3 linked regions of the Oreochromis niloticus genome follow. The protein of the gene in region 2 purifies or fractionates together with the protein of the main gene of each other region. This does not show direct contact. Links are inferred from orthologs where the notes say so. Each region holds a gene or a part of one and is shown on either strand. Other genes may lie near its edges. The genes, in order: seh1l, nup133 and ahctf1.

Region 1 (10,215 bases), on a different chromosome or scaffold from region 2:
GGACTTCCATCTCCTTTCAGGATGCCGGTGCACTTCCAGTTGTCCATGTAGTTAGCTGCACAGAGACAGAAGGAAAAGTCGGCATTTATTTCCCACACGAAGGAGAAAGGGGACAATCTGACAGCTGAACTTTTCACCGTCATAGGCTTTACTTAGCTGTTCTTCTACCCTACTTTAAATCTATAACTTTGCATGTGTTCAAGTGGGGCTCTTTTCTCCACTTGAATATCTGGTGTTCCTCCAGACCAGTGCATTTTGCTGAAGCACACAAATCATTTAACAATCTACTAGTTGCTATGAACACAGTTACTGCACAACCATTTATTGTGAGGGGACTTATCAGCTTTAGCGCTTTGAGCTCATTCCTTTCAGATTTTTGAAGCCCTCTCTCATCTGTGTCAGTGTAAAAACTATCACAAAACCTTTGTGTAATTCTGGTTCAGCAACAAACACCATTTAACAGACATGGACTCGAAGGTAGCACTTAACAGCTTTAAAAACATATTTCTAAGAAAAAGAGAGCAGGATGTAGAGAACAAAGCAGAGATAAATTCTCTAATGCTGACAGACTGTGTGACCATACTTGCGTATCACCAGATGTACTATATGCACGGAGTTTGTAAAAATTGACACTTCTATTAAGCCCAACTTTTAAGACATACATTTCATAACAAAACAAAAAGAAATATCTTAACCTGGAAAAGAGACGCTATGGTTTTTCCTGCTGCTGATACAAACAAATAAATGTGAATCACACAAATAAAGAGGTAAGCTCAGTCAGGATGCTTGGTTATGAATATAGAAACAAAGTCTGCTACAGCGCAAACAAACTGTTAAGATCTTTTAACATTGGTTTCTAAAACCAAATAAAAAATAAAATAATCGTTCCCTGACTCCACCAGGCTGAATACTCGGGAGTGTGAGTGTGTATGCAGATGTTAGAAAAAAAAGGATAGAAGCACTGTATGAATGTGTGTTTTGGTGAAGCACTTTGAGTTATAAACCAAGTAGAAAGATACTATACAAGTAGCAGTCCACTTACCAGTATATAGACACCGCCTGAATAAGACCAAACTATGGATCAAGGTAGATCAAACAGACCCATCCAGGTAACGCCCAAAGTTACAGACACTATAGCATCCCATCTATCCAATATTTTTCAAACAAGAAGAAACTTCATATAAACTTATGGACCAATTCCAAATGATCTGGTGTGGAATGACTTGAATAACTGGACAATTTAACCTATGACTAAATCATTATTCCTAGTATTAACAGCAGCAACTGCTGCTACACAGCTACAAAGCCTGAAGCTTGGTAGGAGGGCAAAGGTTTCCTAACTGGAGGACATAATGGTTGCCAATATCAGTCTGCTTGATTACTGGGATCAATACTCTGAAAACAAACACGCTGGTTAACCTGATTACAACATATTCACAAGTAGGTATTTGCACCTCAGTCAGTAGAGAAAAAAAAAAAAGCTGTTGTGGTTTGATGAGAACCTGTGCAAAAATGTCAGCTTTCTTTACACAGCTGAACCAACAAATCCTTTATTTTGGAAATGACCAATGGCAACTATGAGTGAACAAAAGTCATTCAATGCCTAGTGAAAAGTACTATTCACTGAATATCCACATTAAATAGCTTTTACTAAAGCTGTCACTGAAGTAAAAGGAAGACAAACAAGCAGTTGTTAAGAGCCCCCTCACCTTTCCAGAGGCGCACACAGCCATCATCCCCAGAGGAGGCCAGCAGGGTGCTGGTGATATTCCAGCTCACACGCCACACCTGAGAGTTATGGTTGTCAAACTGAGCCACAATCTGCACCTCAAATTTGGTGGGTCCTGTGGACGTGCTCTCCTTCCTGTCAGGAGGACACAGGAAACAGGAAATTGAATTTTTATTTTTCATTATCTTAAAAAGAGAACATCTGCTCAGGAACTGCATGCAGGGCTTCAGTGCAGTATTTGTGTGACTCCACCAGTTTCTGTGCGTTGTGACCTTCCATAAGACAGAGTGCAAACACTCACCTCATCGGAACTAGCTTAAATATTCGAACATCTTTTGTTGCAATGGCGAGCACATGGAAAGATCTTCCCAGGTTTGGAGCAAACGCGATGTCATGAACCGCATCAGTGACCGTCATAAGTGTCTCTGCTTTGCCATATTTCCTTTTAAACAGATAAATATTAAAATCTATCATTTATTTTGGTATATCTTCATAATGCGATGGTTAGTGCATCACTGATAATGAATACCCACCGTGTGTTTTCGTTGTACTCGTAGATCTGAACCTTCCCACCGTATGTTACATTGCTGTCGTCACTCCCCACAGCAAACATGGGAGGATGGGCACGTGAGCTGTTGGTAGGAGACAACGCATGGTTACACCAGCAGACTGTTAACAGCATGGTGTTACATACACATGAAAAGGTCAAGTGATACTTGCACAGCATTATTCATTATGTTGTTATACCTGCATGTCTATAAGTCACATTAAGTCTAGCTGTAAGCTGTTTTATTGAAAGAATTAGTGGTAGTAATTGTGTTATTTCATAAGCACATTAACTGAAAACATGGTCTAACATATGCAAGCAAATAATATAAAAGCACTACACCTGCTCTCTACATTTGAATCTCATCTTGGTTTCCTACACAAAGTAAACCAGCAGTCTAACCTGGAGGGGTTCCAAGAGATGCAGCTGCAGCTGAGCTTGCAGGAGATCTCATGCTGCAGGGACCACTGACTCAGGTTCATCACATCAGGAGCCTCGTAGATCCTCACCACCCCATCCGCAGAGCAGGTGGTCAGCATCAGACCCATGTGTTTAGGAGCAAACTTCACATCGGTCACTGAAGTTCTACTGTCCACTAGCGTGGTTCTCTTAATCTAGAAAAGCCCAACATGAAACACTCAGGTGAAATCTAACAAACAGTTATATTAAATGGGAAATGCAATGCAAGCGTACTAACCCAGTGGCTAAGTCCCCTCTGCTTGTCATTGGACTCTCCTACAATCTCCTCCCAAACAGCAGCTGTTCTGTCAAAGGAGCAAGAAGCTAGAACCTGTCCAAATTCTGGATGCGCCCAGGTCACTCGCCACACTGATCCACTGTGTGTCTGGACATAACAACATTCATCTATTAACTCCATCGATACTTTGAATGTAATGCTGTGTCCATACTCAAAAAGACAAACATAAAGTAATAAATAAAAAAGAAAAGGAAATGATGGTGGTTTACCTTCCAGCTGGCTGTGCAGTGCCACTCTCCGTTCTCACTTTTGTCCCAGACCTGAGTGGAATAAAATCAGTCTTGAATACTGCTCATGTGTCTGTGCACAATTATCACCGATTTTGCACTGACTTTTGTATGTACGTCCTTTATTATGTCGTCACATAATAAAAAATACACCGATAGCTCTGTCGGAAAACTCGGCAGTGCTTAACTACACTACTGTGGTATAGAGCTTATCTGTAGCCAGCCTAGCTCGTGTGCTACAAGCACCAGAGCTAACAGACTAGCATTTTAAACTGAGATAACTTCCCTCGAGTGTAATAACCAGAGGAAGATTTTTCAAACAACCTCATGCCATGTCTGTCAGGAAAACGAGTCAGTAATTTCAGTATGAAAGGTGAGAGTGTCGGTAATGTGGGCAAGGCTATCCTGCTAGCTGTAACGGCTAATGCTAACATTAGCAAACTATGATGTAAAGCTTACCTTGACACTTTGGTCACTGGAGCAAGTCGCCATCCTCCGGCCGTGAAAATCATACGATACGTCATGAATTAGATCTTTATGATCTGCTGCGATACTACGCGCAACAAACATGATAACAACTATGTACCGGCAACTCTAGCTGGGACGATTAACTGGCAGGCCTGTCATGTGTCTACTTATGCTGTGTGTTTATTTGGCGGTAATGTGATTGTGTGTAGTACAAGTTATTGACCACACGGCGGCGCATGCACACAAATTTTAAGCAGCTCAAAGCGACTTTGGGATTCTTTATAAGAAGATAAAATATATCGAAAGCTATTCCGTGAAAAACTGCTACAGCTAGAGTTACTTTGAAGATACGTAGTCAGATAAACAGACAGATTAATAGGTTTATTAATACATAACTGCCAAAGTAAATATAGTAAGTAATATATTGTCAAAATTTATTGCCGCCTCTTGCGCGGTTGCCAGGTTTGATCCAACTGACAGTTTTTTTCTTCGCTAACTTTATTAATAAAAGTTAATTTCAAGTAACAATATTTAAACAGATTTGTGCAAAGGAATTTTGTAAAGGCATAAAATAATAGTACTTAAAAACATTCAGTAAAGAGATTGTGAAAGAACTTTAATGCGTTCAATAAGAGTATTGCATTAATTAATTAAATTAATGCATTCATTGAAATACTGCAACATATCTTGTTTTTTTGTTTTTCGTGTTTTAAGTAAGGCCAGAAGAATCTGCCAGTTAGAAACAACTGAATAAAACACTGAGCTAAGTGTCAATATCCTTGCGTATGTTTTTTTTAAATATTAATGTTAATATCAGATTTTTGTAGTTTAGTGTAGTTTAGTTTTGTTTTTTGTATTTTTGTGTGTGTGTGTGTGTGTGTGTGTGTTTGCGGAAGGCTGTGATGAACGCATATCTGGCAACCCGGGTCAGTCAGCGTGCAGGCAGCAAGCAAGCAAGCAGTATTGTGCCGGAGCAGCAGACTCCCCGCAGGGATTCCTAGGGTTACACACACTGCTGTTTAGATGGCTGACAGAAAGGAGTAAGTTGGTGAACGGTGCTGAAAACACTCTGAGATTATTCCGGCAAGTGTCTGGGTTCACTAACTACAACACAATGGAGGAAGAATTTCAAGACATTGATTCGTCGGGGAGATGGCAAAACCTTTACAATGTAAGTCGGGACACTGACCGGGCCTCTCTTGTTTCTATGACGATCGGTTGCTAACTAACTTAGCTAGCTAATTTGATAGCTATCAAGTTAGACACCACTTCGAGTTTTTGGTCACTTTCCCGTCCACGCTTTTAATTGTGTAAATTTCTACACTTCGTGACATGACTTCCAAGTTCTTTATACATATTGGAGTGCACTTGGTAAAGACGAATGAGTAACTAGCATTTCGCGCTAGCTGACTTCCGTAGCTGGAAAACGTGCATCGGCACGATCTTCACTTCGGTTAGCTAATGCTGGCTGACGCTAGCAGACGTCAGCCGCAGTTTCTGAGAACTCATCAGGACTTCCACAGAAAAGCGTGTTGTGTTTTACCACGCAGCACAGCATTTCGTTTATAATATGTCTGTTCCGGTTAAACTTTGGCTATGACCCTGCAATGTGCAGCTGCGAACTACAAAGATGCCATGTAACTAGAGCTGTTTTTTCACACATGAGTGTTAATAAATTAAGAAGAAATGAACGTGCACACTTTATACATTTTTAAAAAATGTTTTTAAAAAAAACCTTTCAAAACCTTTTTTTGACAGGGAGCGGGGGGTATTTATAAAAAGTGCATGGATAAGTAATTTCATAAAAGATCAAATTTCTTTCATGCAGTCCAGTCCTACTGAGAATTTAAATGGGACTGAACAGACATGAGAATACTAACACTTAATTTAATTTCTTACCTATTTTAAGGATAATGTCGTTAGCATGATAATCTATTTAAACCAATAGTGCTCATTGTACATAATGATGCTTTTCAGTTCCATATGTTATGGGATTATCTCTGTCAGTTTACTTCTAATATGAGTCCCAAGCTTGAATAAATGGGGAGGTTTAAATCAGGAAGTCAAATATGCAGACCAAGAATACAGCATCATGTCTTAGTACATCTATGCACTGAAACTGTACTTTGTGTACTACTAAAAATTACTTTTGCCACTAGTCTTATCCATGGTGCTGTAGCTCAGTGGCAGTGAGGGGACACGCCCCTGCTCACGACAGTATTCTTGGGAGTGTCAAAAATAATTTTTGTTCTCCTTTATTCTTTTCTTGTGTCCAGTAAAACTGCTTCTGTTTCTCTAGAATGAAATAATAATAATAGAACTGAGTTCGCCCTTTGGCCTTGCCCATGCAGACTGTGTTGTAAAAGGAAAACAACAGCCTGAGGCATTGCAGTACATTAAGTTTGACAAATGACAATGAAAACAAAGCAGACCAGTTGTAATGAATTGAGTACAAAGGATTGAGGACCTTTGATCTCTGCGTATGGTTTTTCTTTTAATGTCATTACTGGTCACCACTCCAGTAAAACTGGAGGTACATGAATTGAACAGGTTGTGTCACTGTTTCCTGTCGCTGTTGTCTACTGAATCAACTCAAAGTGATGCTTCTGAGTTCCTGTTTGGTTTCTCATCTGCAACAGGAGATCCGTAACCAAGCCAGTGAATATTCCTACAAAGTGGCAAAGCTTCCAGTGAACCGGAATCTGAACCGCTACAGAGATGTCAGCCCATGTGAGTGTTACGATGGTTAAGGCTCTCATTGATGATATGTGCTGCCGAGAATGACGTCATCATAATTGCTCTGTGATCTCTTGCTTGGTTTCAGACGATCACAGTCGGGTAAAACTTGAAAACTCTGAAAATGACTACATCAATGCAAGTTTAGTCGATGTGGAAGAAGCCCAAAGAGCTTACATTCTTTCTCAGGTATGTAGATTGTAGGACAAGCAGTGTACACTGAACTGTCTGCACGGATATCTGTTGAACACATCTGCGTGCCACTCAAAGGAAAATACACAGGATTTGAGTTTGACATTTTGGGAGTTGTTGATGATCTCTGGATGTTATTCATTTATGTGGATTTTCTACTTTTGCTTTGACAGGGCCCCTTGAGGAATACATGCGGCCATTTCTGGCTGATGATTTGGGAACAGAGTTGCAAAGCTGTTATAATGCTCAACAGAGTGATTGAAAAAGGATCTGTGAGTACACTACAGCACCTGCTAATCATTACGTTCTGAAGTCCCCCTGCTGGCTAGGTTGTTTGAAAGTTTGAGGAGACAAATCTTTATTAATAGATGTAGATACATTTGCTCATCCCAAAAGGTTTGAGATCCAATGCCTGTTTCCACTGATGCTAAAATTCTGTGCATTTACAAGATGAAATAGAATCCAAGATACGTTTTATTGTGTTTTCTTTCTAGTCTATCCACTTTTATCTGGTAGACTAGAAAGGCTTTCAGCCCTGTCTTGGAGTTTTCAAAAAGATGACCAGATTTACTATAAAATTTAATTGGCTTGTTTTTCGTGCATGTACCATCTCTTCACCACGTTTCATGAATTTCACCCTGGTAGGTGTAATCATGCTGACAGACAGACTGAGAAGAATGCCACAATTTTGAAAAAGTGAATTGAAATACTGAAGAGCTGCACATGTTTAAATTCGTTATGGATCAAAGCCTAATTGAGATATTTTGGGCAGGAATCATGACTCAAATTCCTTTACTTGACAATGGAAAAAATTTATTTCCTTACATTTAAAAAAAAAAAAAAAAAAAAAAATCCAGTTTAAAATGTCTTTTTCTTGCTCTGTGGTGTTGTACTTCATCAGAACTCTGTGTTTCACAAGATTGTCTTAAGCTCTGTGGTCATGTTTTAAGCTGTACTGTATGTAAAGTTTCAGTTCTGTTGTTTCCATTTATTTGAAATTTTAACCACAGTTCCAGGAAAGTTAATGATTACTTAGTTTGTTTTTGCATTTAGTTTTGAATGTGTTTTTTTTTTATTTTTAGTTTCACTTGTATTTGGTTTTCATGTTTCAGTTTAGGTTTTACTCTGAAAAGGTTTCATTTTCAGTGAGGTTTCATTGTTGTGTATTTCATTGTTTTTTTGGGGGGGGGTTAAGTTTTTTTTTTTTCTCTCTCTCTCTCCACACTTTGGTTTTTAGTTGAGTTTAGTGTAGCTAACTATAATGGCCTTGGTTCCAAGAACAACCTATGGAAACTGGAAACAAGCTGTCAGATACTTCGGTGTACACGAACGTAATTAGTTGTGCTCTTCGTGCACGGTTGATTTTCTGAATCGGAGAAATAGTGTACATAAGTGCAGCTGTGCCCAGTATTTAAGTCAGAAGTTCTTCAAATGGCTCGAGGCACATGACAGCCTATCCATGAATAACTGAACGTATTTGTCTCAACAGGAAAAGTGCGCGCAATACTGGCCTACCACCGAGGAGCTACAGATGTCTTTCACAGACACAGGGTTTGTTGTGAGGCTACTGTCAGAGGAGGACCAATCCTATTTCACAATCAGATTGCTGGAACTGCAAAATACAAAAGTGAGTATGCAAGGGCACCTATTGGTTAATGACATCTCTCTCTTTCAGCATGGTTTTAAGCACTGCTTAACCAGTCTCTTACCATTTAAGTGTAATGGCATGTAGCTGAAAAAAGACTGTGATTTCAGAGTGTGTAATGTTTTCCTAGTGACAGTCAGCTCAGTCATGCAGAACTGTGTCTATACAATGCTCCAGTCTTGACCAAACATTATGCCTACTACAGACAGGGGAGTCGAGAGAGATCTATCACTTTCACTACACCACATGGCCTGACTTCGGTGTTCCAGAATCCCCTGCCTCCTTCCTCAACTTCCTCTTCAAGGTTCGGGAGTCTGGCTCGCTGGACCCAGAGCATGGGCCTTCAGTGGTGCACTGCAGCGCTGGGATTGGTCGCTCAGGGACCTTTGCCTTGGTGGATACCTGTCTAGTTTTGGTGAGAAGGGGAGTGGGGAAATGTCACTGAAAGCCTGCCACTGTTAAAGAGAATTGTTTCGCAAGAGGTTCACATTACAATGACTAAAGTCTGATGATGGTAAGATGAGGCGTTCATGCTCTGATTGTACTTGCATGCTGATAACATGCTTACAGAGGAGTGTCGGCGTGTAGGTATTCAGCGTGAGTGTGTAAAGTCTGGAGTTTTTTAACTGGAGCAGAGAAGAGGCCCTTAACTGATTATTTCTTGGGAAATGTTTCTCTTCCTGTATGTCAAGAATAACTTTTAAATTACCACAATTCCACATGTGTCTGCAACTATATGGAACTAAATTCCTGATTCTTATCATGGCTTGATGAGTTTTAAAGCTCTAAAAGTTAAAAAAAAAATGATGAATCTTATTTCACTAGAAAGTTTTGCAAATTTCCTGTGGCCATTTGACTTGTCTGTCAACCTTGTTAACATGATTTTGTTTGGCCAGCTGTTAGGTTAACCAGACCTTAAGTGCTGTAGGTCTTTGAATATTGTTCAACACTACACCACAAGTAAGTAGCGAGTTGATCAGAATGAGATTTTCAGCCTCTTCTATTAATCAAACACAGCATATGCAGGATGTCTCTCCATTATCTGGTTTCAATTACCTAAAGATGATTATGATTATTATCACCTGCAGGGCATTATCACCTTGATAATACAGCCCAGAATGCTAAACTAACACAGGCAGAAAGCAACACCACTACAAATCCGTGATGTGTGAGTGTGATAGGAAAATCCCTGTACAGTAGTGCAATATTAAAAGCGCTGCATGAATGTATATGCACTTTTAAGTGCTTTGGTCAGTAAGACTGGATAAGTGCTATATTAATAAAGTCTAGCCTAAAAGGAGCCAGGAGAAAGGAAGGTGGCTAGAATGCACATAGAGTTACCAGGATTACAGTATTGTATTAAGACTTGGAAGAATTCTCTAATCTGCATAGGGTCAAAGGTATACATACACACAAATCTACTAGTCATAAAGATTCTGTAATATCTTTTAACTCTACAAGGCCAAGGGTTATAGACATCTTCTTAGTGATCATGATTCCAGACAACTGGCAGTTTCTCTTTGGTGCGATTAAAATGATTTGTTTGACAGCACTCATTGGACTGACCAGAACAATGGGAAATTTAGAGGAACTCAGTGAAGCTCTAAGAAGGAGAATTGTAGATTTAGACAAATTGGGAAGGTCTCTCGGCCTCTTGCCAATTTTAAGTTCATCAGTTCAAACAGTTATATGTAAGATCAAGTTACTTGGATGTGTCACAACTTTTCCAAGAACTGCCATGAACTGGAAATTGCTGGAACACCAGCATAACTATCCACAGTGAAGTCAGTTTTACAGAATCATGGACTAAGAGGATGCTGCTCATGAAAGTAGCTCCTGCTTCAAATTCAACACCTTCAAGCTTATCTGAAATTTATAAATGTCCATATGGCCAAGGCAAATGCCTTCTGGAGA
Region 2 (10,249 bases):
TGGGTATGTCCGGGAGAACGTCCAGAGACGGGCGGTGCGATCGTGAGAGCAACTGGCAAAGTAAAGGCTGCAGGGGCTGACGTCCACATCCCATACTGGGTAGACATGCCCCTGGTAGAGCACCGTGTTGGTGAAGCTGCCCAGGTCCCAGTAGCGGATGGTTGTGTCCTCAGAGCACGAGAGCAAGCCGGAGCTGTCTGTGAGGAAGGCGGTACGAAAAACTGGGCCGCTGTGACCTCGCAGCGTCTTTATCTCACTGCCTGAGCTGTCCTCTTCATCTACCTTGGAAGAAATGATGAAAGATTACATAATTATACTTGATTTTGTTCCTATGCAGCTTAATCTAAAAATAATGTACATCATTTATTTTTATATTAAAAATCTAAATTTGCTAAATAATTTAATCTTTAACTCTGCAGGTCTTTTTAAATCAGAGCCACCATCTACAAATGAGACCCATCTTATTGCTAGAGATCGGAATTGGATGATTTTCAGTGCACCCCACCACAACAATGTTTCTAAAAACAAACCTAATCAGACAGTGACATCACCATCGCCATCGCCCAGATAAACATGGATATTTTAAAAGGAGTTGAAGTGAAGTGGCTAAAGTTAAAGATATCCAGTGCGTAGAGGCAGCCATAAGCTAGCAACCTTGGTATGTGCAAGCAAAGGAAAAAAAACAAAACAAATTCAAGGTCCCTGTTGTCTAATGAATTTATAAATATACTGAAAAATAAACTATATAAAGCTGTTGCTCCTCCTTTTGTTTGGCAAGGTAAAACTCATTTTATCATTTCTACCTCTTTCCAGTAGCAGAGCACTTGGTTTCAGATGTTTCAGTGAAAGAAGATCTTCTAACTAACTCCAGCTTTGGAGAATAATATTGGGGGCAATAATTTCTTCTGTTATAATATTTTTTAAGTATTTGCATTGAAGACAAACTAAATTGTTTGTATCTGCTGTAATTTATGGTTCATAGAAAGAAAATCAATAACAGCAGGTTACACATTTTAACTGAGCAAATTGCAATTGGTTCAGCTCTGCTCACTACATCTTATCAGCCTTCCCTTACATTCTTGCTGCAATCATTCTGTCACACCTTTGACATACCTCTCCACCTGCTCCACCCTGCCTCCACTCCTTTCTTCACCTCTTGTGCCTGTTACTTTGGAAGGTTGCCCTCAGATATTTAAACTTATGTACTCATGTCAACGTCCACTCCTTGTGCCTGCAACTTTCCAACATCTTCCTCTCATTCACATACATGTAATTTGTATTTGCAACTCTTCCATCTGCACCCTACTCTCACTACAGATCATGTCATCTGCAAACATCACAGCCTGTCCGTCACCACTATAAACAAGACTTCACCAATGTGTCTCTGTTCTCATGACAAACTTTGTCTTGTCCTCAGGATTATTTTCTCATATTTTGTACACCAAAAGAAACGCATGCAAATTTTAAAAAAAGAAAAAGAAGATATGGAAACAATTAAGGTGAAGACTTCTCATAACAATGTCTACTTACTTCCTCCTCCAGTACGTCACATGCCAGGTGGATGTGTGACACATCAGCCTGATGGGGTCTGGCCTTAAGCTTTCTGGCACGGAGGCTCCACAGCTTTACCGTGGAGGTGTCAAATCCACCGGCCAGCAACCGACTGTCAGCCGAGACCTCAGCAGTGTTCAGCATCTGCTCCGTGTGGTGGAAGGCGTAAAAACAGACAGTGGTGAGTGACGGTGGTCCCTCACGGACTTTCTTGACGCAGTCCTGCAGAGCCTCGAGGGCTGCCTCATTCTGTGGGATCCCTGCTGGGACCTCCACCCCATCACCACTCTCTGTTCCATCCACTCCGGCCCAGGAGGAGGTGGAGTTTGGAGAAGCTGTCGACCCGCAAGCAGCTCCATAGAGCTGGTAGTCTGTCCGCCTCGAGGCACTGACCTCCAGCTGCAGGTGTGTACTGAGGATCCTACAGAGGGCGCTGTTGTCCTCACTCTGCAGGTAACGCAGCAGGTAGCTGTAGGCTGGCTCCGTCAGGTGAACCACATATTTGTGCTCTAAGAAAGCATTCAGCTTGGGGTTGGTCACAATGTCTTGTGCACTGAGGACATGGCGGAGCTGCTCTATGATGGTACACTGCTCACTGTCCTGAAGAAAGGCGCCATGAAAACGACTGTAAAAACCATCCACAGCCCCCTTCAGTCCAAAGCGCACCATGTCCAGGTGGAGGTAGACGAAGAGCGGATAGAGGACACTGCTCACCTCTTTTGCCCAGGATATGTCTGCTTCTATTTAGTAGAAAACAAATATGTATATTTTTTAGGCTTTTGTAATCAATAACAACAAAGGTTAACAATATCGTAACACAGTTCCATCATCTCATTCTCGATATCCATGTGGAGCTGTTTGTATACAAGCCAATAATAATCCATTTTGTTATTCATGCCCTTTCAAAAAATGTAAATGAATAAATAAATAAATACGAACATAAATGTATGAAAGACAAATGTTAAAACCAAAGTTTGTAATCCATGTTTCTCTCTTAACAGTCAGGACAAAACAATGTGGACTCGCACAAAAACAGCTTAAGAAATGTTGACAAAATGAAAAAATATCAGCCCTGGATGGTCAATAATACAAAAGCACAATTATCAGAGAAAATAAAAATATTTAAAACTGCAGCAATATGTCATCTTTCAGAAAGAAGCCCCAGTCGTCCACAACCTTTGTCTCTTTCTGCTGTTTAGGATGCAGCTTTACCACTACCTAAAAAAGTGGAGCCGAGGCATAAACTTTGGGAACAACTACAATTATAGATGTGCAAGTCTAGACTCATCCACTCAGTGATGTAGAGCTCATACCTGACAGGAAGGCGCGGAGCTTGGAATACTGAATCTCATAATGCTGTGGGTCATACTGGCATGGTGCAGCAGAAACGACATTGGAACATCCTGACTCCGTCTGCACTGCTCAGACATAGAGAAAGAAGATACAGAAGAAACCAGAAAAAGTGTTAATTACATAGAATATTGCCAGTCAAAGGGTCAAATACATTACACTGCATTATGAAAATAGATTATTAATCTTAACCAATTATCCTAGGGACACAGGTGAGCTGGAACCTATCCCAGCTGTCTTATGGTACACCTTAGAAAGGTCACGAGTTTAACACAGGGTTAAAACAAAACAAACAAAAAACACAGTCTCAAAATCACTTAGAATCACCAGTTACCTAACACATTTCTCTGCACTGTGGAATTAAACCCAAGCAGGCCCATGGAAACTCAAAATCCTGCTCCTCACATACAAGGTCTTTAATAATCAGGCCCCATCTTATCTTAATGACCTTGTAGTACCATATCACCCTATTAGAGCACTTCACTCTCGCTCTGCAGGCCTACTTGCTGTTCCTAAAATATTTAAAAGTAGAATGGGAGGGAGACCCTTCAGTTTTCAGGCCCCTCTTCTGTGGAACCAGCTTCCAGTTTGGATTCGGGAGACAGACACTATCTCTACTTTCAAGATTAGGCTTAAAACTTTCCTTTTTGCTAAAGCATATAGTTAGGGCTGGACCAGGTGACCCTGAATCCTCCCTTAGTTATGCTGCAATAGACGTAGGCTGCCGGGGTGATTCCCATAATGCATTGAGTTTTTCCTTTCCAGTCACCTTTCTCACTCACTATGTGCTAATAGACCTCTCTGCATTGAATCATATCTGTTATTAATCTCTGTCTCTCTTCCACAGCATGTCTTTCATCCTGTTTTCCTTCTCTCACCCCAACCGGTCGCAGCAGGTGGCCGCCCCTCCCTGAGCCTGGTTCTGCCGGAGATTTCTTCCTGTTAAAAGGGAGTTTTTCCTTCCCACTGTCGCCAAAGTGCTTGCTCATAGGGGGTCATATGATTGTTGGGTTTTTCTCTGTATGTATTATTGTGCGATCTACTGTACAATATAAAGCGCCTTGAGGCGACTTCTGTTGTGATTTGGCGCTATATAAATAAAATTGAATTGAATTGAATATAGACAGCTCTAGGGTCTACAAGGTTCATGCCCAAAACCAAATCCATGTTGCACTGAGGCGGCAGTGCTAATTTTTGCAGTGAAGCCAATCCTGTGGTGTATGTGTAGTGTTTTCGTGTGATCAGTCTTTTCTCATAACTATGTGGCTGTGCGATCTATTAATTAGGCTGGAATCATCATCATCATCATCATCTTACCCGTGAGACTTGCAGCCATTTCTTCGGGGGACTGGTAGAGCTTGGCTCCTTTCAGGGAGCCGTCAGTGTCCACATACTGCCTCCTCTTCAGGTACTGAGCCACGGCATACTGGATCTGCTCAGTGCGAATCCGCTTCATGACCTTACGAGCACAAGCTACAGTGTCAGACACCTGGCACTTTTCACAGCACCTTCCTTCTCTCGCTCATCCACCCAATAAGTCGGAAGCATATAGTAACTGTTTTCGTGCTCACAACGGACTACAAAATACGATACATGTCTGTGATTACTAAAAATTCTCATTCATCATCTCCATGGTCAAATTAAACCTCTTGAGCACAGCATCACCTAGTTGCTAATTACATAGCAAAGCAACGCTGGCGTGTTTATGTTACAAGCATTACAAAGGGCCCAGCTAGCACAACAAAGATACGTGCCAACTAACCTGAAAGTCAGCAAAGAACTAGGCATGCAGTGTAAAGCTGTCAGGTTTCGACAGTAGAGGAGGATGCTTACACCAAGCTAACTGGCTAACTTCCTAATGCTAGAAGTGGGCCTGCCCGCTAAACTTTTAGCGGGATTAATGCCGTACCATCATTATTTGGACATTGCTACTTACTGCATAACGTGTTGCTGTCCGCCTTCAGTTACTGTGTCCAAACCGACCGCTTTTAACGCATCACTGTATCTGGCTATAACTACTATATCAACGTCGTTCGCTGCCGCTCCATCGTGGTTATCCAACCCTGTCAGACTCCATCAAATCATGCTAGCGAAAGCAGCTAAGCTAGCTGGCCGCTCTCATCTTTAATCAGCAATTCTAGGTGTCGTTAATCTACTGCTTTCGCCTGGCTCCCGTTAGTTTCAAGCTCAAGGGTAAATCTATAGATAACAGATTTCCTGAGAAGAAAAAAATCTTAGAACACAGTTATTAGGTTGATAAAATATAATTGTTGTAGTTCATAAAAGTCAGCTACTATGATGAGATGCACTGAATAGTTTGGAGTCTCCTGAAGATCTGATGTCATCTTGATGACATAAATTTGTGTTTGTTTTATTTTATAAATTTATATGTAAGCTTAAATTTACTGACCCAGAGGCAGAATTGTCTCTGCCAATCCCTGCTGTACAGAACTCTGTGTGAAAGTGCACTATTAAGTCACTAAATTAACTCTCACAGTATTTAGCGTACTTAACTCACTTTTTAAGCCCCTTAAAAACGTAGAATCAGTAGAGCGGAGTAATTTAAATTTTTAATTTTAATTGGATGAATATGGCCTACATGAAAAAGTGTGTGTGTGTGTGTGTTTTTCATATAGTCTGACTGACTTACCCACACAACAAGACTTTGCTCTGTGAAAGTGTTACAGTTGTAAAATCTCGTGTTCGAGTTGTAAATAAAGTTTTACGAAATAGGCGGAGGAGGCGATGACGTTTTAATCCAGCGACTGCACCGCGCGTTGTTTGGAGAGTTGTATTAGGTGGATCTTTGGTGTGAGCGCGCTTTTCAGGCAGGGTTGTAGTTATCACTGTTGAACAGTTCGGGGTACCACCGCAGGCATGTTTAGCCCCCGAACCGCCCCGGGCTCCGGCCGTAGGCAGCCGGCCAGGACCGCCGGGAGGAAGAGTGTCTCCGGTGCGGTCCCTGGCCTCCTGTTCTCCCCGCGCAGGACGCCGTTGTCGGCGAGGTGAGTGTTGTCGGATCAGATTTACTCAATCGGAAGGCTCCATATATATGACAAATAAAGACAATTTTACAGATTTATAGATGTTGTTCTTTCGTGCTGAGTCGTCAGTGCAGTCTTGGATTAACTGGGGCCATCAGACTGTAGCTACAGCTGATTGTTCTGAGTTTGTCCACTCTTAATGTTTGTGTCCTCCCCAGATCAACACCTACCCGAGTTCAGAGCCATGCGGGGGCAGAAACTGTTAACTATGATGTGCAGACCTTTGGGTCATCACTCCCCGTCAAAGTTATGGAGGCACTGACGATGGCTGACGGTAAGAGAAACATTGTCTTCTTTCTGAGAATGAAAGGTGTGCGTGTGTAATTTTATGAGCTTCAAACTAACATATTCAATTTCTATTTTCTTATATAGTTGCTCTCTCTTCTCTTTATGTTTCTGGTTGTGGGAGAGTTAGTAGTTTCCACTAAACATTTGTTTTTCATTTTCTTATTGGTCACTCTAGCTGATGATCAGATCTCAGTGAAGGTGTGTGAGAGCGGCTGGGCCTGGATGGTTTGTGGAGAGAGTCTGATCATCTGGAAGATCTGCCAAACTGCTGTAGCTAAGGTATGATTCAGGGCAGACATTTATATATTTTTTTTTCAGCCTGAGTTTAAAATTCACTTTAAAACTACATTTAGACTAAAATTACAATCTAAAAATCATTAAAGAGTTATTTTAACATGTTCTCCAAAATAATGCCAGCGGCGTGAGGCCTTTTTTCCATCTGTAGGATCGACAAAGCAAATAATTATTCACTGATCATTTATTTCATGTGTCTTAGTTTTATTTAAAGAGACTGGGTACAGTAACATGTGGTAAATGTTTCAGCGATAGAAAGACAGACTTTTTTTTCTCTCACAAAACCTGCTTTCTTATTCCGATATTAGATGGATTAAATGATGAATCAAAACAGACTGAAAGTTCACAATGTGCTAAACTGGCAGCTTTAAATTCACAAACTAAACTGTGTTTTCCTGCAGGTCTCAGTTTGTAAGGAGTTGCAACTGCCCAGCAGTGAGTACAACTACGCTGCTGACCTTGTGGCTGTGACTTCCACTGCTCCCCTGGAGATGGCTGCTGTTCAGTCCATCTCTGTCTTGGCGGTGGCTGCAGAAGGAACGGTTCGCTACTGGCCCAGCCTCTCCCAGGAGGGCAACTACACAGAGACCGATGTGGACCTGGGAGATCTGTGCAACTTTGTTGTTGCTGTCAGAGTAAGTAGGTTTCTTCAGTTGAAAATAGACTGTTTTGCTAACCAATTTGTTACAAAAAAAACTCACCACTGACCCTGCCAAATCCAAAATACTCAAATATTTTTGAAAAGGGTCCCAAAGTACAACCACATCAAACAGTATCACTCCAGAAATCACTGGGGAGTAATGCTGCTGTCCAAGTTTTATTCACTGCATACCTTGAGATATCTTGAAACATTTAAACACATGTAATAAAGCTGGCATTGCACTTTATTTTGTGTAAATTTGTAAGGAACAGGATTAAATCAACAACATATAATTTGACCTCTTTGTTTCTCACTTCCTTCTCCTTTCTCAGGGTGGAAGCTTTGTCTTGTCCTCGGTAAAGAATCAGCTCTTGAGAGCAAGTGCAGATTCTTCTGGCAAACTGCAGTGCCGAGCTCTGCAGCAGGGTCAGGGCATGCTCTCTGGCATCGGACGTCGTGTCTCCAGCCTGTTTGGCATCCTCTCGACACCAGCCAATGACACAGTGAGTCCTGTTAGGAGAGTCAACTGCAGAGTTTGGGCTTTCATTTATTCTATCTGTACAACTCTTTTCTAGCTTATGCATTTTTAATAATTAAGACTAGTCAGTGTACAGTGTTATTATTTTTCATCTATTGGTGATGACCTTTAAATACATCGAATAGTGTTGCTCTGAGCTTGACTCTTTTCCCATTTTTACTGTCATTCATTGATAATCTGATTATAACCTGCTAATTCTTTCCTCCAGGTGTTATTTGTTTGTTTTATATTAATCAAGTTTTGTTTTTGTTTTTTTTAATCAATTTTAGCCACAGAGAGAAATGAGTGATTACTTTTGATTCCGATTCACAAATTTCTTAAACACCCTTTGTGTTTTAAGTCTATCAGGCTGAATAGTGAGGGCAGTTCTTCTCCAGTGTCAGTTTAGTTATCTTCAGTATTCAGACTTCTGACTCTATTACTGCTGCAGCTCTGCAGTGTGCTGTGGGTGGGGGAAAGCAGCTCCCTGTACACACTCACTGATTCCAGTCTGAGTAAATGGGAGGTCGACGACAGCTCGGAGCACCAGATCCTCAACTGGGACGCGCGCAGAGTTCTGAACGAGAGCATCACAGACGCTATATGGGTCAGTGTAAGCAAACATGTGACCTTATTTATTACAGATGAAGGGTTTTTTCCTGTTCTGCACTGTAGCAAAGAAAACTAAATAAATAAGATTAAAATGAAAATGATTTCCTTTCCTCCAGGGGTCAGAGAGCAACTATGAGGAGATGAAGGAGGGAGCAAATGTGGCATACCTGGACATGAAGCTCAGCCAGTGAGTGTGTTCTACTGTGTGTGTGTGATTAAAAGCAGCAGGGCCACACATTGGTGCTTGTCTTTGGATTCACAAAAACCTGAATCATTTTTGTTTCCTTCTTCTTCTTCTTCTTTTTTTTTCACTAAAATATGCCGCATTTAGGATTGCATGTGCTAAAGCATGGTAAAGTGTTAGTTAGGGTGACCAACCGGCCTCTTTTTTTCTTTTTTTTTTGCACTTGTTGACTTGTAAAAGTCTATATCAGCGGTCCCCAACCTTTTTTGCGCCACGGACCGGTTTATGCCCGACAATATTTTCACGGACCGCCCTTTAAGGTATCGCAGATAAATACAACAAAATAAAACTAGTACCGGTACCGAAAAAAAGAAGATTTATTCATAACACACGTGAAAAGACCCAGGAAAACCGAGTTAACGATAAAAACGATAACAAAATAACGCTGAAAACCGATAAACACCCTGAAAACCATTTCACACCTGAGCCTCAACTCTCGCAGCCCGGTACCAAACGACTCACGGACCGGACCAGTCCGAGACCTGGGGGTTGGGGACCACTGGTCTATATGACATTTTTTATTTCATGATTCATTAACCACACAGAGAAGGCATCGTTTAAATATGTTAACGTTTTCGTGAAGCAAACAGTATTATTAAAGTTCTTCATGACTGGACCAAGTGTCCTCTTTTTTGGAAATCAAAATATGGTCACCCTAGCGTTAGCGTACTATGGCCAAACAGAGCTACCCATCTTGTGTCACTCTGCACTTCAAAGATCAATCTCAGAATTTTAAAAAATTATATTCAATATATAAATATTAAATGAAAGATGGATTTTATCCATTCAGTCAATAAAAAGACTTGTTTTACACTTGTCTCTCCACTTGTTGTGTCTTAGTCCGGCGGTCCCCAACCCCCGGGCCATGGAACTGTATTGGTCCGTGAGTCGTGTGGCACTGGACCACAGGACTTGAGGCTCGGGTGTGAAATGTATGGTTTTCAGGGTTTTTATCGTTAACTATGTTTCCCTGGGTCTTTTCCCGTGTTGTAGTTGTCTTATTCTGAAAGAAATATTTACACGTTACCATAGTGACCAGAGAGCATTAACCTCCTAAGACCTGAACTCTTCCACAGCATGCATTTTTAATTTATCTTTGATATTTGGGCATATTGGGACCCGATGAATGCAAAAACAAAGAATTACCAGATTAAAAAAAAAAAAAAAAAAATTAACGGATTTTTGTTTCTAAGGAAAATAAGAGCCACATATGAGGATATTCGTTTAAAATTTTGATAGAACAGTAGCAGTATAATGTCCTTGTAAGTGGATATCAGGCCCTTGTAGAGATTTAGTATTTTGGTCTAAATAACTCAAAATGATGTTTATTTTGTTGTATTTATCCGCGACACCTTAAAGGCCGGTCCATGAAAATATTGTCTGACATTAAACCGGTCTGTGGTGTAAAAAAGGTTCTGGACCGCTGTCTTCGTCGACAGGTTATCTTGTGTTTATTTGTTGCCTCCATGTTCCTCTATTATTCGCTATTCTTCTTGAACTTACTGCACCCCTGGCTGAACTGAGCTACACTGTTTGCTTTCAGAGCCGGATTGGTGGTTTTAGCTGCAGCCTGGCACCCGTCCGACACTCCCTGCCTGGCCTACTTCTGCCTGGTCACCCTGCAGGACAACGGAGCCACCATCTCTGACCAGTTCACCGTGGAGGTCACAAAGTACAGCTCTCCCTTCCAGGTCAGACCTAAAGCTGCT
Region 3 (10,754 bases), on a different chromosome or scaffold from region 2:
AAGTTCACTTTGGTTGCAGGAAAGATCATCGAGACAGAGGTCCACAAGGAGAACGTGACCGAGATCCGTTACTACGGCTGCAATTCCAAAGAACCAGCGCAAACCCTGGTGAAGGTGTTGTGTTGACGTGCTTGCTCCGCCATAGCTCACTAATGGCTCAATAGCTGTGATCTAGATGCAAGAGAGTTTTAGAAAAGAAAAATAGAAAATGTTCAAGTTAACTAAAGTTCTAGAAACTTGAGTCTAAATGTTAAAATAGTAAAAACTACAGTCAACCCACTCTGCCTGGTATGACAACAGCCTTCACCACTCTTGACAGTCCCAAGTCATAAAGACACAGCACGCTGCCTTCTGTTTCCTCCAAGCCAACCAGCAAACCAGACCTGTTAAAATTAACCACCAGAGGACTTAACATTTGCACTGTCATTACTTTTATTATGTATCCACTTCATAGTGAACTTTCACTGATTACATCCACATCCAAATGAGCCAAATAAATCATGAATGAATGAAATGAAGCCCGAACCGTTTGAGCCAGCTGAAGTCTCTGGCGGCAAGGACATTGGGTGGGTGCTCCCCTCCACCACTGAAGCAGTATGCAGACAGCCGTTCTCCTGTCACTGCATGGACAACCTCCAAATGGGGTCCACAGGCCAGCCAGGCCAACCCGCTGCGACCTTCATACACAGACAAGGGCATAAAAATATAAAGTTAAAAGCTGCAGGTCTTTGTGCAGTTTAAGCTGAAAACTAGCCTTGTGATGATAAAGCAGGAAATTACTACAAAAAAATAACAAAAGCCTTTAAGAAAAACCCAATTATGTTAGATTTTGAGGTGATTTTCTTCCTCCCTTTTAATTACCCAATGTTGCAACATCAGCAACTTATTTACACGGTAAAAGAATTATGTGAAGCAAAATAATTAACATAAAAATACTAAAAACAACAGAAGAAATTAAAACATATGTGTGTGTATGAACGGATTTTTATATTTAAGAAACAATCAGCTTTAACATCTGGATTGCTGTCTGCCCTAATTTTATGGTGTTGCAAGTTCTTGAAGTTCTTATTGTCCTGCAAAGCGGAAGTTTGGTTCATGAACGCAAGCCTGAAAAGATGAGTTACCATTTGCACTTCCATTCATAACTTATCTGCTCTTTTATTTGTTTGAAAGAACATACTGAAATTCTTTTCAAACCAGAAGTCCATCCAATAGTAAAGTCTGTCAAAGTCAAAGGTCAGACAATATATACCGAATGTCCTAAACATGCACAGTAAGTAGTGACTTGGAAAAAAAGAGAAAAATGTTTTTCCTGATGTCAGACTGTCAAAAACCAAGTAACTCATCAGATTTATTTTCACTTATTATTTATTGATTCTTTTCCCACCTGGGTGATATAGTTTCAATAGTTTATTAAATAACATGTTTTCATATGAGGGTGATGGTATTGTATTTCATATCCTTTATTTGCTTAGAAATAAGAGAGAAAAAAAAAAACAGTTAAATGCTTAAAATAATGATGAAATATTCTTACCAACAGTAAAACTCCCATGAAGAACAGAATCTAGCGTAATCTCATCTTCCCCCAGAGCGTCTACAGTCACTCCTGAGAAAGGCAGCAAGCTGCTGGTGACTTGTGCAGTCAGGTCATGCATTGTTCACTGCATAAACATAAAAAGGAAATAAATAAATGTTAAAAAGATTCTTTTATTTACATTTCACCCAATATTTTGGCCAAATATGATAAAACTATTATTAGAATTTTTTTTGGCAGCTTATAAAAAGAGCAGAACCAAAAGGAAAATTATAAAACCAATTTTGTTAAGTTGGGTTGCATTTACAGAAAAATGATAGACATTTTATTTTTCAAAGGGGAAAGACATAAAATGCACATGTTTATGTCAAATAAGGAAACAAACTCAGGCTTGATTTTGTATGTATTCATCTCCCACGGGCCCATTCTGAGCCAATAAAAACCCTGTCAATAGTCAAAAACATCTATTTCCCTCCTTCCACATTACCCTAGCCAAGCTATTTGCTCATTAAGTAAACACAAGCAAATTAAAACAAAATACAAGTCCTCCTGAACCCTTACTAATCCCTAAAACCACTTTGGGGTTTATGTGCTTGACCAGGTTTCTACACAAAAGAGGTCTTTCTTTCAAAACACTGCCTGCGCCCCCTCAGTTGTCAGGAAGCATGCTGTCAGCAAACTTTTGGACAGCTGGGGCTGAGAATGGGCTTGCTTTCCAATCCACAACGCGTGGCATACAGCTGCACATCTGTTAGCACATTCTTCTCACAGTGAGATGAGGAGTAAAGCGCTATTACAATAATCGAGTAGCCAACCTGCTCAAGTGGCATTTTTTTCCTGTTCATAATAACTGACACTACCAAAACATGTAAATTCACAGGTCTACATCAACAGCACTGTAAACTAGAGATGTCAAGGTCATTTTATGTTGTGGTTCACAAGCTGTATACTCCAATTTTCCCTACATAGGGCAGACCACTCCTAAAACTTTACTCATGTAAGATTTTTTTAAATGTTTATTTCATTTTATTACCATGACTAACACAAGTACGCTCATGTTTATGCCGTCGACTGGCCTCGTCATTGCACTAGTGCTCCACTAAGATAGCATTATCTGCGTCTGTTGTGTATACAGTGCTGACAAAAAATTAGTCTGTCACGTTCAGTTTGCAAAATAGTACCCAATACCGCCCCCTGTGGCCACACAAGGAAACACATTGCATTCAAGTGAACTCCCGCGCAACATGCCTGTAGTCCAGCAGCCACATGCCAGGGCATGAGTTTGAACACACAGATATAACATTTACAAAATAATAAATATATATTCTCTGTCGGAGGCAAATGTTTTTTAGAACAACAAAACACTGTTGAAGCGCACTTATAGCTTAAACAAGCAAACATATAGCGATCACGTGTGTCAACATTTGTCAAGTCTTTGTGACACCTATATGCATTTCTACCATTTGCAACTTTCTACAAGACAGAACATGTACATATAGCGAGGCTGAAAAATGTGAGACAACATGAAAACATTATATAGCTCCATAAACCACAGTAACCGGCTCATGTTGTCTGGATCGTTAGCGTCTACATAGTGCCAAAACAGTTGTTTACATTGTTAAGTAACGCACAATGGTGATAAAAATTTAAAGATAAATGAAACAATGCAAGTGTTATCTAGTGCTGAACAATAGGTAGTAGCCTTGATACACTCTTACATTAGCAGGTTACCGAGTTAGCTTGCAAGGTCATGCAGGATTACAGTTTATTCAATTTCACCGTCAAAGTTAAGAAAGCTAACTCTAAGGGTAGCCATCTGCATAACTAAGTATTTGAAAGTTGTTACCATTTCATGTAGACTATCAGGTTTGTGCTACAACAAGTCAACTACATCGGTGACTGAAACTAAACCCATCAAGTTTTAACCACTAGTCGAAGGTAAAGTAAGGGTGGCTAGCTAAACTAGCCCGAGGTACAGCAATACTTTCGCTAACGCAGCTAACTTTCTGCTAGCAGTGTGCATCTAACTTGCGGTATGTTTGTTTTTTCCACCCCAGCTAATAACCATAACTGGCATTTATCATTGTTGACATCTTAGTAAAACCACAGCCCTGTCAGCGACGAGTCTTGTTTTACTTGAATCTGAGCATATAGGTGGACTGATGTCATTTTGGTGGTTTAGCTTCAGTTAAAACGTAACGCCAGGCAACGCAGTTAGCGTGTAGCTTCTGGCAGCACCGCAGCAGAGTTAGTTTCTGTCTAACACAAGTGACGCCCGCATTGTGAATCTGTGTGGGGATTTACTCGGCATAAACTCATTTAGCGAGCCGAGCTAGCCCGGTTACATCTTTCCAAGCTGACCTGGAAAACGTGAGGCAATGTGCCGCTAGCTTTTGCTACCAACGTTTACACTACCTGGGCGAGAATGTTGACGGCTTTATCAGAGCCACAATTGGTTCGTTTTCCTTTATAATTATCTCGATTCCTTTCTTCCTCTGTCATAATCCGTTGCTTTTTAAAGTACCTCTCCTACCGATAGCCCTCTAGGAGATTCACCTGACAAACAAGCACGAAAGGATCCTCTGACTTCAGGCTCCAACAACGCAGAGCGCCATTTCCACAGTCGAAAAGTGCTCTGACGCATTTCTTCCTCGCCGTGGTTCCGACAGAATAGACACACATCGAGGACGCACTGCTGCCCCCCTCAGTCTGGGCATTGCTTCTGTTTGAACAATAGAAACTAAAACAGGAAAGTCAAATGACTTTGCAATATCAAACTTCTTCTTTTTCTTTTTTTTATCTGCTCCCTTCAGGGGTTAACACACGGATCATCTGCCGTGTGGTGAAAATGCTCCAATGCTGGGCAGACAGGCAAAGCAACAGCTCCATAATAAGTTAAGCTCCAAGGAAAGGTAGTGAAGATACATGATTTTAAATAGCTGGCATCAAGTCAGGGTGGAGTGGGTGGAGACGAGTGTCAGTTGTGATTTGTGACAGAAGGATAGCACCAAGAGTGAAAGGGGTGGTGTGATTTGAGACGGTGCCTCTGACAAAAAGACAGCAGGGACAAATATTTCGTTACTGTACTTAAATAGAGGTCCGGTGTTTTTATTTATCGATATTTAATAGCTGCATGTGCCAATTAGTAGCTGTTGTGGCACATCTAGGAGCGAGGGGCATAAAGATAGTAATATTTTTTAAGTGTCACTTAATTTCAAATGCAATGTTTCTATCAGCTCAACAAACATCAGCAAACACACAAACTGCATGTGTGCAGTTTGTCGCACAGTGTGTTGCTACCTAAAGGTCCAGCTGCTGCAGTTCACAGGGATAGAAAAGAAAGAGAGCTGGAGAAAGATAAGAAAGACAGAAGAGGAGAGGAAGAAGAGAGGTTAGATTTAAAGCTAGGGACTGCTCAGTGGTATTTGATAACTGTCAATTTAAAGCCTGCATGAAGTCCTAATGTCTTTAAATCAGATATTGGGTCTGTACATTTTTATATTGTGAAACCTGCTGCATTTTTTTCCTGCTTAGAGGCAAATTCACCCTCTACAATGTAGGCAACAGAAAATAGAGCTTTTTAAGTTTCGTTCTTTTTCTCTGCTCATGTTCTACTTAACTTCTTAAAGCTGAGTACCTTTATTAGAATTAAAATTTAAACTGAAATAAAGTTTATAGTCTCATGTACTAATATTATTTTATTATTACATTATTATAACACAAGGTCCAGTTGGCTTTGCACAACAATAGCTGGTAAAATGAAAAAAAAAAAAAGCATTTTAAATGTTATTATGAAGATTTTCCTTTGCCTGTTTGCCCAGCACAGAAGCATTTTTATTCTAAGAAAATTTTATGTCAGTCCACACCCGGGCTGTGCTGTTTTCACTTTGGCAAATCATGTAATTTTCTTCCCAGACTTTTCACTGCTGTAAATACAATAATAATAGTATATAAAATTAGTTACAGAATTATTTCTAATGAAATGTTTGGGTTGGAAACAGGCCCACAAGAGCAAACTCTGTTTATTATTGCTGGTGTGATGACGATTGTTGGCATTTGGCCATTTATTGAGGCGTGTCCATAGAGCAACTGTCAGTTACTGGCATGGACGGTATAAACGCTACATTATACCGTCTATGGTCTGTAGTGGACGCTCCAGGATCTGATTGCCTCCGATTCATTTTCCACCCCATCATACGTGAATCAGGGGTATCCTTTTCTCTCATTGGTGGTTGCTTCACTTGCTCACCTTGATGTTGGCGAATGTTCATCACCACTTTCTTCACCATGGCAGAGTTTTTTTTCGCCTGTCTATGACTTTGTATAGTCTCTGTGAATCAGTCTCTGTGTGCCTGTCCCTTTAGTGTGTATGAGAATCTTCACAGTTCAGCAAACAGTTTTATAACACTTTTTATTTTATGTAAAACTCTTACAAAAGCACATGCAGACAGATAATTAATACTTGAGCTGCTTGAGAAGCTATTTGACCATGTGTACATTTCCACTTATGGAATAAAGTTATGTGATTAAACCACCTTTCATGATTGCATTTCATGGCCTTAATTTAGGTTTTATTATATGCTTGATATTCACTTTTTACAAGTATACAAAAAGAAAAAAAAAATCAGTGCAATGATTGATTGCAAGGCACACAGGTTATGGCTGTATTACCTATGAACAAAACTTAAAACACTCCAAATATCACAAATCTTGACACTCAGACCGACAGTCAGAGAATAATGGAAGTGTTTGGATGTTGTGATTTCTTCCTCATTTGCTGCTCAATCTTTAAATCAAACTGCTGCCTTTCTCTGAAAAAACAACAACAAAAAATTAGTATTTAGCCTTGAAGTCATTCTTTTTAAAAATTTAACATATAAAAGTCTCACCTGTTGCTTATACATCGCCCTCTGAGGTATTTTTCTTCTGCTGTTTTTACTGAAACGTTGTCCACTCCAGCAATGGCATAAATAATGGCCTGCACAGAAAGATAAACTCATGACACCTGGACTACAGAAACTGAACTGCATATCAGGAAACATTGCAAACAAAACCTGCGAGCACTCATGTAGGCTTTAGCTCACCTCAGGAAGAAGCACATCCAGGACAAAAGGGACACGATCCATGGATTTCACATCAGCTACGCAGGGGGCGTTGGCCACAGCTGCTGTATAGAGCTCATTTAGGTAGCAGTAGACTTGGTCAAGCTGATGGTCATCTTCAAGGTATATGTTCACCACCCGTCTACGATTGGCACTTAAGAAGGAACGAAGCCACCTGGACTTCTCCTGCCCATGGATTACAGCCTGTAGGAAGTGTGATACAATGGGAAGGGATTTATTCAATCAATTATGGTTTCCTATGCCATCACATCTTACGTGTGGCACAGCTCCGATGTCAGATTTTAAAAAGAACTGCAACTGAAAAAAAAATGATAGCTTTCATATGCAAATACTTGCAATATTCACCCATTTGTTTGTTTAATTTTTGCATGCTCTGGCACACTCTTTGCATAACTGGTTGAGCTCCTGAAAGTATTGGACATTACTGGGGTGAACTTAAATTTGTAAGTATACTAAAATCGAGGTCAGCTTACACTCATTGTGGCCTCTACCACCCATACTTCATTCAAACAAATCTCCACGTCTTAACAGATAGACTGCTTTTGACCACTTTGCTCTGGTCTCATACTAACAGTGCGTGCAATTCAGAAACTTATAAAAGCATAGGATACCTGGTCTTGATAAATAGTTAAGACAAACAAAATATTGGTACTCACTTATAAGTACCTCTTAGCGTTTACCTAACAGCAAACTATGGTAATTCAGCTATAAGCAGTTATCAGCATCAGCAAATAGCATATAATCATGATTGGTATGTCATCAATCAAGGTAAAACGTGAACCTGTATAACAGAAAAATAATATGCATTTCTTGATGATAACCTTAGTGTTGTACTTTATAAATGAAATGAAAAAGGTGTTAATAAAAATCTATCCCAATCCTTCTTTTAGGAGGTGAGACAATTGCTATAACAAGGAACTAAGAAGAACATAAATGATGGCAAGTTGAATTCAAATGTCTAGTCTTTGACTATCTTTAATTTCCAGACCTATGTAACTGTGCCAAATGTGGTGCTATGACCAAAGGGGATGTGCATTTGTTTCCACACACTGGAAATAAGTTCAAAATAAAAAACAAAAAACAAATCTGTTGTTTATGATTTAGTTGTTGAAATCCACATTTGGGCTGGTATATGCTGTGAAAACTAATCAAGATTTATTAAAACAAAACAAACAGACACGAAAAAGGATCTCTGCACATAAAAGCAACAAAAGGAATTCAGATGAAAGGTCACCAGTGGCTACATGTTTTAAGTCAGCTGGTCATCATGTGTTTTTTCTCAGCTTCCAAGATGGTAACGCCAGCTAAAAGAGGAACTCAAGGCATATTTTTGTTCCAAATACAAGTATATTACAGTCATACACTACAAAGTGAAAGGTTTCCATGAAGAATTACTGCTGAAAGGCTTTTGTTTGGATCTATTGTAACTTCATTAGTAGGGCCAAACAGGGCTATTCTCTTGCAGCACTTCAAAGTCCTTGTTGTTGACTGGTGTTTCAACCTCACCCGGTCTTTATATGTATTGTGATTCTGTATTGTAAAAAAAGATGAAAACCGTGGCCTACAAACGTGCTTGTGCAGTGGGTGAACTGTGAGGCTGTGTGGGTAGGGCAAACCCACACATTTCTCACGTGGGTCTCACAGTAGGGTGTTCCCACACAGGGCTGGCAGCAGTTTTACCTTTTGGGGGCCCTTTATTGGCTGTTTAAATGGGCAAACACACTACCCCCAGTACTGGTGTACCCACACAGCCCACAATGGGCAGCCCACAGTGGGGTCAGGTTAGCGGTGCACTAGATCCGGCACTGTTGCAGTCACTAACTCAAAAGCTGAAAAGTTACATAATTTGAGCAGGAAAGTTTCAAGCCTAAGTTGAGCCACAGAAACCAAATACAAGTTTTCATCTCATAAAACTTTGGTGGGATAAAGGAAATGAAATATTCCAATTACTCAGAATATTAAATTATTTTGCGCTGGTATAAAACTCTACTTTCTGCTTCTGTTTCAGTTTGGGCTGTCCTAAAAGACCAAAGCAGCACTCATTACTCAGCACTGATGCAACATTTTAGTGAAGTGACACCAGCACTGTAACTTTTTGAGGAACACAAACAATCAACACAATCAAACAACACAAACACAAGAATTACACCAGCAGAAAAGCAAGAGAGTCATTCATACCAGGAGGTGTGCGTCGACCATGTGTTGCTTGACAATGAAATGTACGAGCTTCTCATTTGCGCGGTTGTGGGCAGCATGGGTCCGATCTGGCAGCAACCTTTTTGAACACCTTATGTCCTTCTGCTGTTCACTAAAGCTGTCCTCCTTAACGTCACATGGCTCCTCCATTGTCGAATCACTGATGATGGTTAGTCTCTCTGAAGCTGCCTTTGGATACTCCCTCCTCACAGGATAACCTAAACCAATTCAGACCAGCAGTCAAGAGCAACATCAGGGCCTAGAGAATCTGTAGGTGTATTCAACTTTTTAATTCTGTGCTAGCCTCATAATTTGTGATTCCAGGTCAAGGATGAAACTTACTCATATCATGGTCAAAGTACTGTATGAAGGAGCCAGAAAATGAGCCACATGCTACAAAGATAAAACATGATTAGTACTGCAGCTAATTCAGTGATATCATCCTAATATTGTTTAAACAACATATCACACACACATCAGTGTTTCTGCTTGCTGAGGCATTAAATAAGCAACTCACCAATCCGAAATCTGTAGTCTGTTATGAGATCCAGGGACCATGATATTGCAGCATCATAGCTTTCTTTGGCTTTACGCTGTTTAAAAAAACCAAAAAAGCAAAAACAGTTTAGCACTGTGTCAAGAGAACATTTTCAGAAATCAGAACATACTCCGTGAGCAGTTCTTACCATGAGTTCATTAGCTTCTTCACAGTCAAAAGGTTTCAAACATTTTAGAGCCACAGCAAACCTTTAGAAACACAAACACCCAACTGAAAAGTTTATTTAAATAACATAAATGTAACATAACACTACGTAATGTGGATACACTAATCAGCCACTTCATTGGATACAGTTCAAATTCTTAATGCAAATATCTAATTAGCCAATCACATAGCAACAACTCGATGCATTTAGGCATGTAGACATGGCCAAGACAACCTGCTGAAATTCAGACTGAGCATTAGAATGGGGAACAAAGGCAATTTAAATGACTTTAAATGGATGTTGCTGCCAGTTGGATTGCCATGAATCATTTATAAACTGGATTTTCCCACACAATGATTTCTAGGATTTACTAGACAGCAGTGGGTGCCAGTACTATCAGCTAAGAACAGGAAACTGAGGCTACAAATCACAAAGGCTCACCAAAAATTGGACATTGATAATTTTGTCCATTTCCAACTGGACAAACAGAAGATTGGAAAAACGGTGCCTGGTCTGTTGACCATTATTCAGATGGTAGAATCAGAATTTGGCATAAACAACATGAAAGTATGGATCCATCCTGCCTTGTGTCAATGGCTCAGGCTGCTAGTGGTGGTGCAATAGTGAGGATTGATATTTTCATGCCACATTTTAGGCCCCTTAGTACCACTTCAGCATTGTTTAAATGCCCCAGCCTACTTGAGCATTGTTACTGACCATGTCCATCACATGTATATCCCTTTATCCCTTCCAGCAGGATAAAGCACCATGTTGCAAGCTCAAATAATCTCAAAGTGCTTTCTTGAACATGACAATGGATTCACTGTTCTCAAATGACCTTTGGAGTATGGTGTAAAGGGAGATTCACATTGTGGACCTGCATGTCCAACCCAAGGTGTACTTTGTAAAGTGGCTGGTGAGTGTATATATCACCTAAAGACACAGGCAAGAACCAACAAAGCAAAAACAGAAAACATCCTACCCTTTCTTTTTCTCAATGATTGAGTCATCAATAAAGATGATACTGGCTTTTTTGTGCTTTCTGTTCACACTTTTTACCTACAGCAAACAAAATAACAACAAAGAACAAAACAAAAGTCAATGATTTTTCATGGGCAATTATTGTCATTTTAACAGTGAATGCTTTTTTGATTCATCTAGTAAATTCAAGATATACAATAGTAGGCTGACTGACAG

What was found.
Region 1: the proteins of nup133 (region 2) and seh1l purify together in Homo sapiens (affinity purification with mass spectrometry; 4 studies listed by BioGRID and IntAct, with this or other methods). This does not show direct contact. The link is inferred for Oreochromis niloticus from reciprocal best matches to the Homo sapiens genes NUP133 and SEH1L.
Region 3: the proteins of nup133 (region 2) and ahctf1 purify together in Homo sapiens (affinity purification with western blotting; 3 studies listed by BioGRID, with this or other methods). This does not show direct contact. The link is inferred for Oreochromis niloticus from reciprocal best matches to the Homo sapiens genes NUP133 and AHCTF1.

Annotation. Positions count from the first base shown.
Region 1 is NC_031976.2:5,533,526-5,543,740, forward strand, and holds the start of seh1l (nucleoporin SEH1), read right to left. Parts: upstream 3,948-10,215; 5' UTR 3,831-3,947; coding exon 3,720-3,830; intron 3,294-3,719; coding exon 3,243-3,293; intron 3,121-3,242; coding exon 2,974-3,120; intron 2,891-2,973; coding exon 2,679-2,890; intron 2,362-2,678; coding exon 2,263-2,361; intron 2,172-2,262; coding exon 2,031-2,171; intron 1,865-2,030; coding exon 1,710-1,864; intron 56-1,709; coding exon 1-55. Other genes in the region: ptpn2a (tyrosine-protein phosphatase non-receptor type 2a), read left to right, coding at 4,843-4,899, 6,368-6,458, 6,553-6,653, 6,830-6,928, 8,146-8,283, 8,507-8,716. UniProt on the Homo sapiens protein: Component of the Nup107-160 subcomplex of the nuclear pore complex (NPC). The Nup107-160 subcomplex is required for the assembly of a functional NPC.
Region 2 is NC_031971.2:5,371,821-5,382,069, forward strand, and holds the start of nup133 (nuclear pore complex protein Nup133), read left to right. Parts: upstream 1-5,745; 5' UTR 5,746-5,778; coding exon 5,779-5,906; intron 5,907-6,103; coding exon 6,104-6,219; intron 6,220-6,408; coding exon 6,409-6,512; intron 6,513-6,928; coding exon 6,929-7,162; intron 7,163-7,499; coding exon 7,500-7,670; intron 7,671-8,135; coding exon 8,136-8,291; intron 8,292-8,412; coding exon 8,413-8,483; intron 8,484-10,083; coding exon 10,084-10,231; intron 10,232-10,249. Other genes in the region: taf5l (TAF5-like RNA polymerase II p300/CBP-associated factor-associated factor 65 kDa subunit 5L), read right to left, coding at 1-282, 1,531-2,291, 2,865-2,969, 4,219-4,357. UniProt on the Homo sapiens protein: Involved in poly(A)+ RNA transport. Involved in nephrogenesis.
Region 3 is NC_031965.2:26,145,221-26,155,974, reverse strand, and holds the start of ahctf1 (protein ELYS), read right to left. Parts: upstream 4,245-10,754; 5' UTR 4,091-4,244; exon of another isoform or gene 3,950-4,090; intron 1,662-3,949; 5' UTR 1,656-1,661; coding exon 1,535-1,655; intron 678-1,534; coding exon 527-677; intron 384-526; coding exon 281-383; intron 172-280; coding exon 1-171. Other genes in the region: si:dkey-127k13.1 (PWWP domain-containing protein MUM1L1), read right to left, coding at 6,264-6,345, 6,424-6,512, 6,619-6,840, 8,836-9,071, 9,196-9,246, 9,371-9,446, 9,540-9,600, 10,540-10,616. UniProt on the Homo sapiens protein: Required for the assembly of a functional nuclear pore complex (NPC) on the surface of chromosomes as nuclei form at the end of mitosis. May initiate NPC assembly by binding to chromatin and recruiting the Nup107-160 subcomplex of the NPC.